2 linked regions of the Lepisosteus oculatus genome follow. The protein of the gene in region 2 interacts with the protein of the main gene of each other region in a biochemical or structural test. Links are inferred from orthologs where the notes say so. Each region holds a gene or a part of one and is shown on either strand. Other genes may lie near its edges.

What was found. The genes of interacting proteins can lie anywhere in the genome.
Region 1: the proteins of flt1 (region 2) and pgfb are reported together in a solved structure, tested with the Homo sapiens proteins (2 studies listed by BioGRID and IntAct, with this or other methods). The link is inferred for Lepisosteus oculatus from reciprocal best matches to the Homo sapiens genes FLT1 and PGF.

The regions. Positions count from the first base shown.
Region 1 is NC_090703.1:9,819,011-9,822,764, forward strand, and holds the start of pgfb (placenta growth factor), read right to left. Parts: upstream 2,797-3,754; 5' UTR 2,135-2,796; coding exon 1,988-2,134; intron 1-1,987. UniProt on the Homo sapiens protein: Growth factor active in angiogenesis and endothelial cell growth, stimulating their proliferation and migration. It binds to the receptor FLT1/VEGFR-1. Isoform PlGF-2 binds NRP1/neuropilin-1 and NRP2/neuropilin-2 in a heparin-dependent manner.
Region 2 is NC_090700.1:5,799,887-5,803,640, forward strand, and holds the start of flt1 (vascular endothelial growth factor receptor 1), read right to left. Parts: upstream 2,879-3,754; 5' UTR 2,470-2,878; coding exon 2,412-2,469; intron 1-2,411. UniProt on the Homo sapiens protein: Tyrosine-protein kinase that acts as a cell-surface receptor for VEGFA, VEGFB and PGF, and plays an essential role in the development of embryonic vasculature, the regulation of angiogenesis, cell survival, cell migration, macrophage function, chemotaxis, and cancer cell invasion.

The DNA.
Region 1 (3,754 bases), on a different chromosome or scaffold from region 2:
TTACTCAAATTGGTGGAATGTCCGTCTATGAACTGGGAGACAATAAAACTGAATAGGCTCCGAGGCTGTGACTTGCATTATACATGAGATACTCACGCAGCTAGTGTGTAGCTGCTTGTTTGCCCAGCGAGAAATATAGCTGAATGGGTCTTTAGTCTAACAGACGGGGTATGCCTCGATGCCAGGGCTGGTGGCACTTCCTTGCAAGTGTCATTGCTGGGTGGCACCAGACGTGAATGAGGGGAGTCACTCCCCCTGCCTGGGAGACGCGCAGAAGGTAAGGTAAGGCTTCACACTGACAGCGTTGGAGCCCGGGCACAGAGGACTGCTTTGTCCTCCTCTCCCACAGTCAATACCCCTGAGGTTGGATATAGCTACAGAAGCAGCTCCCCACTCCCGACGAGATCACAATGACCCAGAAACCCGACCAGAGACACCAGCCTGTCCAGGAAGGTTACAGCTCTGTCGCGCCAGGGTGGGGATACCAGGAATTCCGACAGAAGGGTGCCTCGATGAGGACTCACTCACTCACTCACTCAGATGCGAATTTAACCCCCATTCCCCGCTCCTCTTCCACAGCCTTTGGAGCTGAATAACCCAGCAGAGCTCCTTTGCCTTTCAGCCTACACAATTAACACTGTTACTTTTGTGTGGCTCGCGGCGCATGGAAGGTGGGAGGGGTGTCGTGGGCCCGTTCCTCCTGATGCCACTTTCAATGGCTGGCGTCTCCCCCATTGATTGGGGCTCCTCCACAGCCACAAAAGCTGCCACTGAGGTAACATTACACAGTGCGTGGCTCTGTAGCACGTCCCAGGTTAGGAAAGTGCGCATGAAACATCGATTGGGTTACAATTCAAAGAGTTTGGTGTTTTTGTTTGGGTCCAGTTCCCAAATTACAAACAAACAAACACCACCTTTCATTTTTTTCCCCGTCAGAACTAAATCCACTCGGTGCAACTGCACAGAAAAGGTGACTTTCTCTCTTTTTTTTTTCTCCATGGTCTTGGTGAAGAATATTATTTTCAGACCGTCACAGGAAAACTTAAGAAACATCAGCCAGGCAGCCATATTGTGCAGGAATCCTAGCTAGGGTTTCCCTGAGACCTTTGACTCAGTATAAACACAGCCAGAGCCTACCGCAGTTACCTCATTCACTCCACAGACTGCACTGAAGACCAAAGTAAAACTGTAACTTACAGTAGCAGTCCTTATAAAACTTAAAAGCGGCAGCTGTCAATGTAAAATATTTAATACAAGGCTGTAGCTTCCTTTCTTAAAACAGGGAGTGGTGCGTACAGTATGCCTGCGTGGGTTGATGGGGTGGGTGGGGGAGCGGTTAGGGTCGAAGCGCAACAGCGAATCACGGGTGAGATACAGTATACAGTACGTCTAAAAAGAAAGAAATGCTGGCTACAATGGAAATGAGCGCTATGCCATAAGTCACGTTCGTCTTGATGACTCAACCTCCTGGCACAAGCTCAATATGAGACTGTAAGGAGCAGAACTCTTTACAAATAGCAACGGTCTACCTCAGAGATTCTGCGGAGTATGAGGTATGAACCAGGAGGGAACTTTAAATTATCTCTAAGTATATCACCGGTACGTTATTAAACGTACCGCCACCTTCACCAACGTCGATGCCACCACCGTTTACTGCACCAGCAAGAATATTTGGAGTCAATTACCTGTGGGGGATTTTCTTCATATACTGTAACTTCGGGATTTGGTGCGATTTTAAACAATAATTGCTTATTCCACGCAGTGCTAGACCCAGTAATTTTAAAGTTGCTTCTCCCTGCAGTCACGAGTTAACCCGGTCTGGAAGCGGTCTGTCACTAGCTCCAGCTATCATTTTCCACGCCAGAAAGAAATGCTTCTGGACAGACATTGAAAGAGAGAGTACGTACTATGGGAATAGTTAATACACAACCTGTATCAGCGGCCAAATCACGGCAAAATTAATAAGAATCTTAAAATACCAGCTTACCTGAGCAGGTGATAACTGAATGAGGAGAACAGTTATTATCTGGATGATGCGGGTAAAATTTTTCATTTCGAGTTTCTCATCCAATTTTCCAGCGCTGAATTCGATCGATCCGCATGAAATCCACCTCCAGAAACGCAAGACTGACATACAATAACGCAAGGAACAGGCGTACAAATGAATAGAAGAAATGAGAGGAAAAAAAAACTGGCACAGAAGCTACAGTAAGTCAGTTTTTACTGGATCCCTCCTCAGTGAAGCTGCGGTAAGGGAATGAGCGCATCGTCACGTCCCTCTGAACAGGCAGAGTTAACCTGGAGACGTTCAGACTGGAAGGAAAAGAGAACTTCCACAAGCGCTACACGTGTGCTTTAGCAACAGTGTCGTGTTGTAGACGTCCGTTTGCACAGGAGGACACGAAATTACAATTTTGGCAACTTCAAAAATAGCTGCAGTAACCTTACAGGAAAGTCAGAATAATAGGTCGTGCAGAAACCAGCACAGCTCGTCCTTGTGTGGCATTCCCCAAAGCCAATCAATTTTAGTAAACCAAAATATTAATCAAACATAATTAGCTACGCTAATGAAGTACTAAAATACTAAAAAAAAAAAATCCGGTCTATCATTGCTCATCCAAAGGATGCAAACACACAGTCCTTTCAATACAAAATGGAACCGTTGCGTTGGGCAGGATCCACACCTTAAGTACTCTTAATGCTCGAAGCGCAGGGTCTTCCTTGGCTTACTTGTCTTGACGATCAGTATTTCCTCAGTGCAGTTACATGCATGGCACTAATTGCTTCTCACTACCTCTCAACTTGTAGCCTGAATGAATCTCCTCCCCTCGACGTCTCCCTCCCTCTGTTCCTCTCTCACTCGCCCTCCCTCTCCCTGTCTCTTTGAGAGCAGTCGGGGCTTATGCATTACTGAACTGTCAGCGATAGTCTTCCAGAACTTCTCCCCACGTGAAACGCCATTATGCTATTAACAACACTTAAAAAACAAAAATAATAATAATAATGATACTGGTGACTTTGATAAGGAAATTAAATCTTATTTAATATGAACAACCAAAAATGCCACACTGTCAATTCAATGAATTGACCACGTTGTTTTCAGTGAATATATATGCTGTTAATACACCGTCAGGCTGATGAAATTTCGGCGTGCTTTCTGCACATGTCCTTACCTTTTTAATATGTCCTATTTTTTTAGGTTAGTGAAGGGGATTGCAAGGCGTGCGTCTACAACTCAGATTAGGAGAGCTGCAGAGCCTGAGGTCTTAATTCTGAAGTTAAATCTTCGCGCAATGTCACCTATTGAATAGATGTTCCCAGCTCTTCTGGTGATCGTTGAGAGACATAATTAAGACGGCTTGTGGGCTCACGTGAATACAGTCAAGTGGTATGATAGTATACCAATGCATACAAAAATTAAAAGTCAGCAGTTTTTAAGTGAATTAATTACAGACATCATTAGCTGAATTTAGCTCTAAACTCAAATTACTCTAAACTCTTTCTCTGCAGTGGATGAATGTCCTAATTCTTAATTTCCTCCTGTGCGCCTTGGCTCTTGTTTCAATCTGACTCCCGATCATGAGCTGCTGGAGATTTGAAATTTCCTATATTACCTCAAAGCCTGCGATTCTCCAGTACCAGGGCTGTAACTAAGACTTGATGTGGTGTCAGCAGTGCAGCGGAGATTTGTTTTCACTCTGGACTTGCTCCGGACAGTGATTTGTGGCCCTGAAGGCAGGCTACATTTTTCTGG
Region 2 (3,754 bases):
GGAGCAGAACGGTCGCCAGTGCCTGATCACTCACGCACAGAAAGCCCTGACCTTCTCGAACCCGCACACCAGGCTGATCAATCACACCGCTGAATACTGCGGGCCGCATAGATTTCAAGCCTCATTAGTCTTCCCTCCCGGCTGTTCGCCATTCTTCTCGAAACCGAACAGGTGGAAAGGCATTTTCACGAATCGCGGTGAGCGGCTTGAATTTTGGGAGGAGAGGGCAAAAGGGTGGGAAGCGGTTTGTTGTTTTTTTTTTATATATTTTTCCCTTCAGTTTAGGTTTATCTGTATTGCGTGGAACTTGGCGTCCTGCTGGCCGAATCCCTGAGGTATAAAGTGATCTTTTGGTCTGGGTTTCGAGCAGTAGGGTTATCACCGTGCCGCAATGTGAAGGGAAAAGACTCACTCCTGTGATGCTAGCCATAGGGCACAGATCCTAAAGAAGACCCAAGACCGCTTGTTGAACGGGAGAGTGGGTCTGTTTTAATTTTATTTATTTTTTCTGCTCTGAACTTTAAGCTGAATATCATTTGAATGACCAACACACTCTTCGGTTGCTCTCGCAATAAATGAAATCACACTTTCAGTGATCTGAAGATCGACAGACAGGGCAAAATGTCTCCACCGGATTGAAAGGCTATGAACGGACGTTGGAGCAACGCATCAGCGATGCTGTACAACCGGCGTACATTTTTACCACATGAATTTACAGTATCTCCGGAATTTACACAGAAAAAGCCAGTTGCTGGTGTTTCTCAGCATCTCCCACGCAGAAGAGGTCCAGCCAACCCTTAAAATCCCACAGAGCACACCCACTGTGAAGTGATAATCACATCAGAACGCGTCAGGAAAAAATACACTTTTTATGTAATTCGTTTACTTAACATCTTCACGACCTTTGAGTTTTGTTTTTCTGCTTCCGATACTTTTCAACCGTTGTGTTGAATGTTCTTCAACTGACGCGTGTTCGTTTTAAGCTCGTTGTTTGTTAACACCCAGCTTGTATCGAAAGCACATATTTGCGTTCATCTAGGTATAAAATACAAGACTTAAAATACTACTTATGGAAAATGTTTTATTGAGAACCTATCGAAAAGATGCGTCGGTGTTCAATTTGAACCCAATAACGGTTTGTGTTAAAATCTGTCAATTTTTCAATGCTTTCTACGTTTTCCTTATCAATAACCACGGAATTAACAAGACTATTTTAATACATTTTTTCCCATTTCATTTTCATTTTTTCCCATCGCTTATTAAGCTTTACAAATAAGCAGCAAGTTAAAATTATGTTTTCGGTCAACCATATAATAGCATTCAGCGGGTGTCAATAATTCATGTAATTTTCTTCGAATCTATTTAAACGAATTCAACGAACAACTTTAAGACGACTTGGCTATATACGCTGTATTTCAACAAGGAGAAGAAGCAGCAGGCAAAATGTTTCTGTTCCCAAACATCATTTGTCGGTAGCAAACAATGTACTGGTGAGTACAGAATCGAAGAACCTGCTCATGAGTCAACCACGTATTTACTAGCAAGTCAACACTGACAAAGACTAACTAACACAGCACGTATCATTCGGTGGTACTCCAGTTCACTCCTGCGTGCCTGTTTTAGTAATATATGTTGATTAGTCCGAGTTCCTGTAAATTGGAAAGTTTCCTTCTAGTGGTCATGACCTTTTGTAATTTGCATTAGCCCTTCCATTCAACTAATTTATCAGGCAAAGGAAACGCCGCCCTTCTCTGATTTAACCAGAGCCGAAAACAAGGATGGTTAAAAATCCCCGTTATTTGAGCTCTTCAACGCGGGGCGGCCGGATTAACTGGGATGGTTGCGCACCTGCAGACGTGATCTGTAAAGTCCGTATATCAGAATTATCTGCCGCACTGAAAAGGCAACTCCAGACCTTGATGTTCACTGGTATATCATTAAAAGAATCGCGGACAGCTTTAATTTTTCACCTTAGTATAATCTTCTTTAAAAAATCGTGAGTTAAATCGTAACTGATGTAATATGTATTATTAGATTCATTTTAGAATTACACTTTGTTAAAATATAACAATTATTATTTTTAAAAAAATCAGTGTAGTTCCTGTAGTATTTGTCTGTGTAGTACCCAGCCCAGGTCGGTGATGATGATGATACACTTCGCTTTCTTGTGTGTTTTAAAGGAAAACAGAAATTAAAAGCCGTTGAAAACGACAACCCAAACTCAATTCAATTTTTCTGCTCAAAACGAAATGTATTTGCTTAATGAAGAGCTGCTTAAAACGATTTTTTTAGTAGGTTGTTCAAACGAACTGAGCGCTGCCTGCATGGATCTTTATTAAACGACGAGAAATTGGTTTCTGTCTAACTTGCACTACTTACACACAGCAAGTTCGTAATAAATCAAAACTCACCCTTTGATAGTGCGCTTCCAGAGAGTCCGCAAAGTACTATCAACACAAGATACATCATCGCGTTTCTTGAATGCCTTTCCTTTCGGCAAAGAAGGTTCGGAGAGCACAATTCCCTTTTTTACAGCTGCCCCAGTGACGGTCCAGAGTTAACAACGCGATGGATTAGCACACTGACATCCCGGCGTTCAGAGAGCAAGAAACGGGAATAACAGCAGGATTCCTACAGTAGCTTGAGTCCTGAGTGTGATGGTGAGCATCCAGTCCGAGCGCGCCTCGCTTAAAGGGGCTTCAGTCATCCCTTTCCCACTCCCCTCGGGGTTGAGATTTATAACTTTTTCTCCGTCCCCACCACTTCACAACCACGCTTCCGTGACGTGAGATGAGCGGCAACACCCACCGGCCCGTTTCCCGCAGTCCCCCCTCTTCCAGGCGACGCGCTGACCTGCGGGTCTCTCTCGCCACGCCGAGGAGGGTGCCACTTCCAGGGCGGCTCCGGGCGCAGAGCGGGCCAGATAACTGGCACGACCCCCCCCCGCTTCTAGTCCCCACTCGCACTCACGCCCACGCACGCGCGAGAGAGCCCCAACGAGTTTAGCTTCTGGGGGCTCGAAAACCTGGACCCTCGTGTGAAGCGCCGCAGCTTGCAGTGTGCGTGTTTCGAGCCGTGCCTCGCCCGGGTGGCCTTGCGCGGGTGGCGATGAAGCCGAGCAGTTCTGGCCTCCAGCTGCGCCCGAAAACCCTGTGTCACCTCTAAACCGCTGCTTTTGCGGTCGTTTCTGTCTTAGACGCCTCTTAAGACAGTCTCTTAAGAGCCGGCTAAAAGAAATTTAGCAGGACCGGAGAAGTCTGCCCTTGTGTGTCTACGGAGTGAGGCGCTGGACGGGACATGAAGGGAGAGGAATTGAATTTCGATACTGCTGCAGCGTTTGGTTTGAGACAGGCATCCACAGAGCAGTCAGGCGGCACACAGGAATGTCCTCTGCCCACAGACCCAAGCACATCCACTGATCCTAATCTGCCACACCAGTGGACACATGTCTGTGGGCTGAAGACCTTGTGCACAGCACTGGTCATCTCTCACCACCAGATCCTCCGAGCCCCTGTGCATCTATTTTAAGAAACTGCATAGCATCAGTTATCGGGAATGTCTCTGTGGGATGCCTATGATTGTCAGTGGGACGTGATTCATTATGGGAACTGCTGTCCAAAATCAAATAAGGAGTGTATTTGTGGTTTACAAGAGTATTTGCATTCATTTACTTCAGGCTGGAGTAATTCCCAGAAAAAAAGTACCGTCATTTCTCTGACATATTTTGTTCTTTTAAAATTTAATATTAAAACAG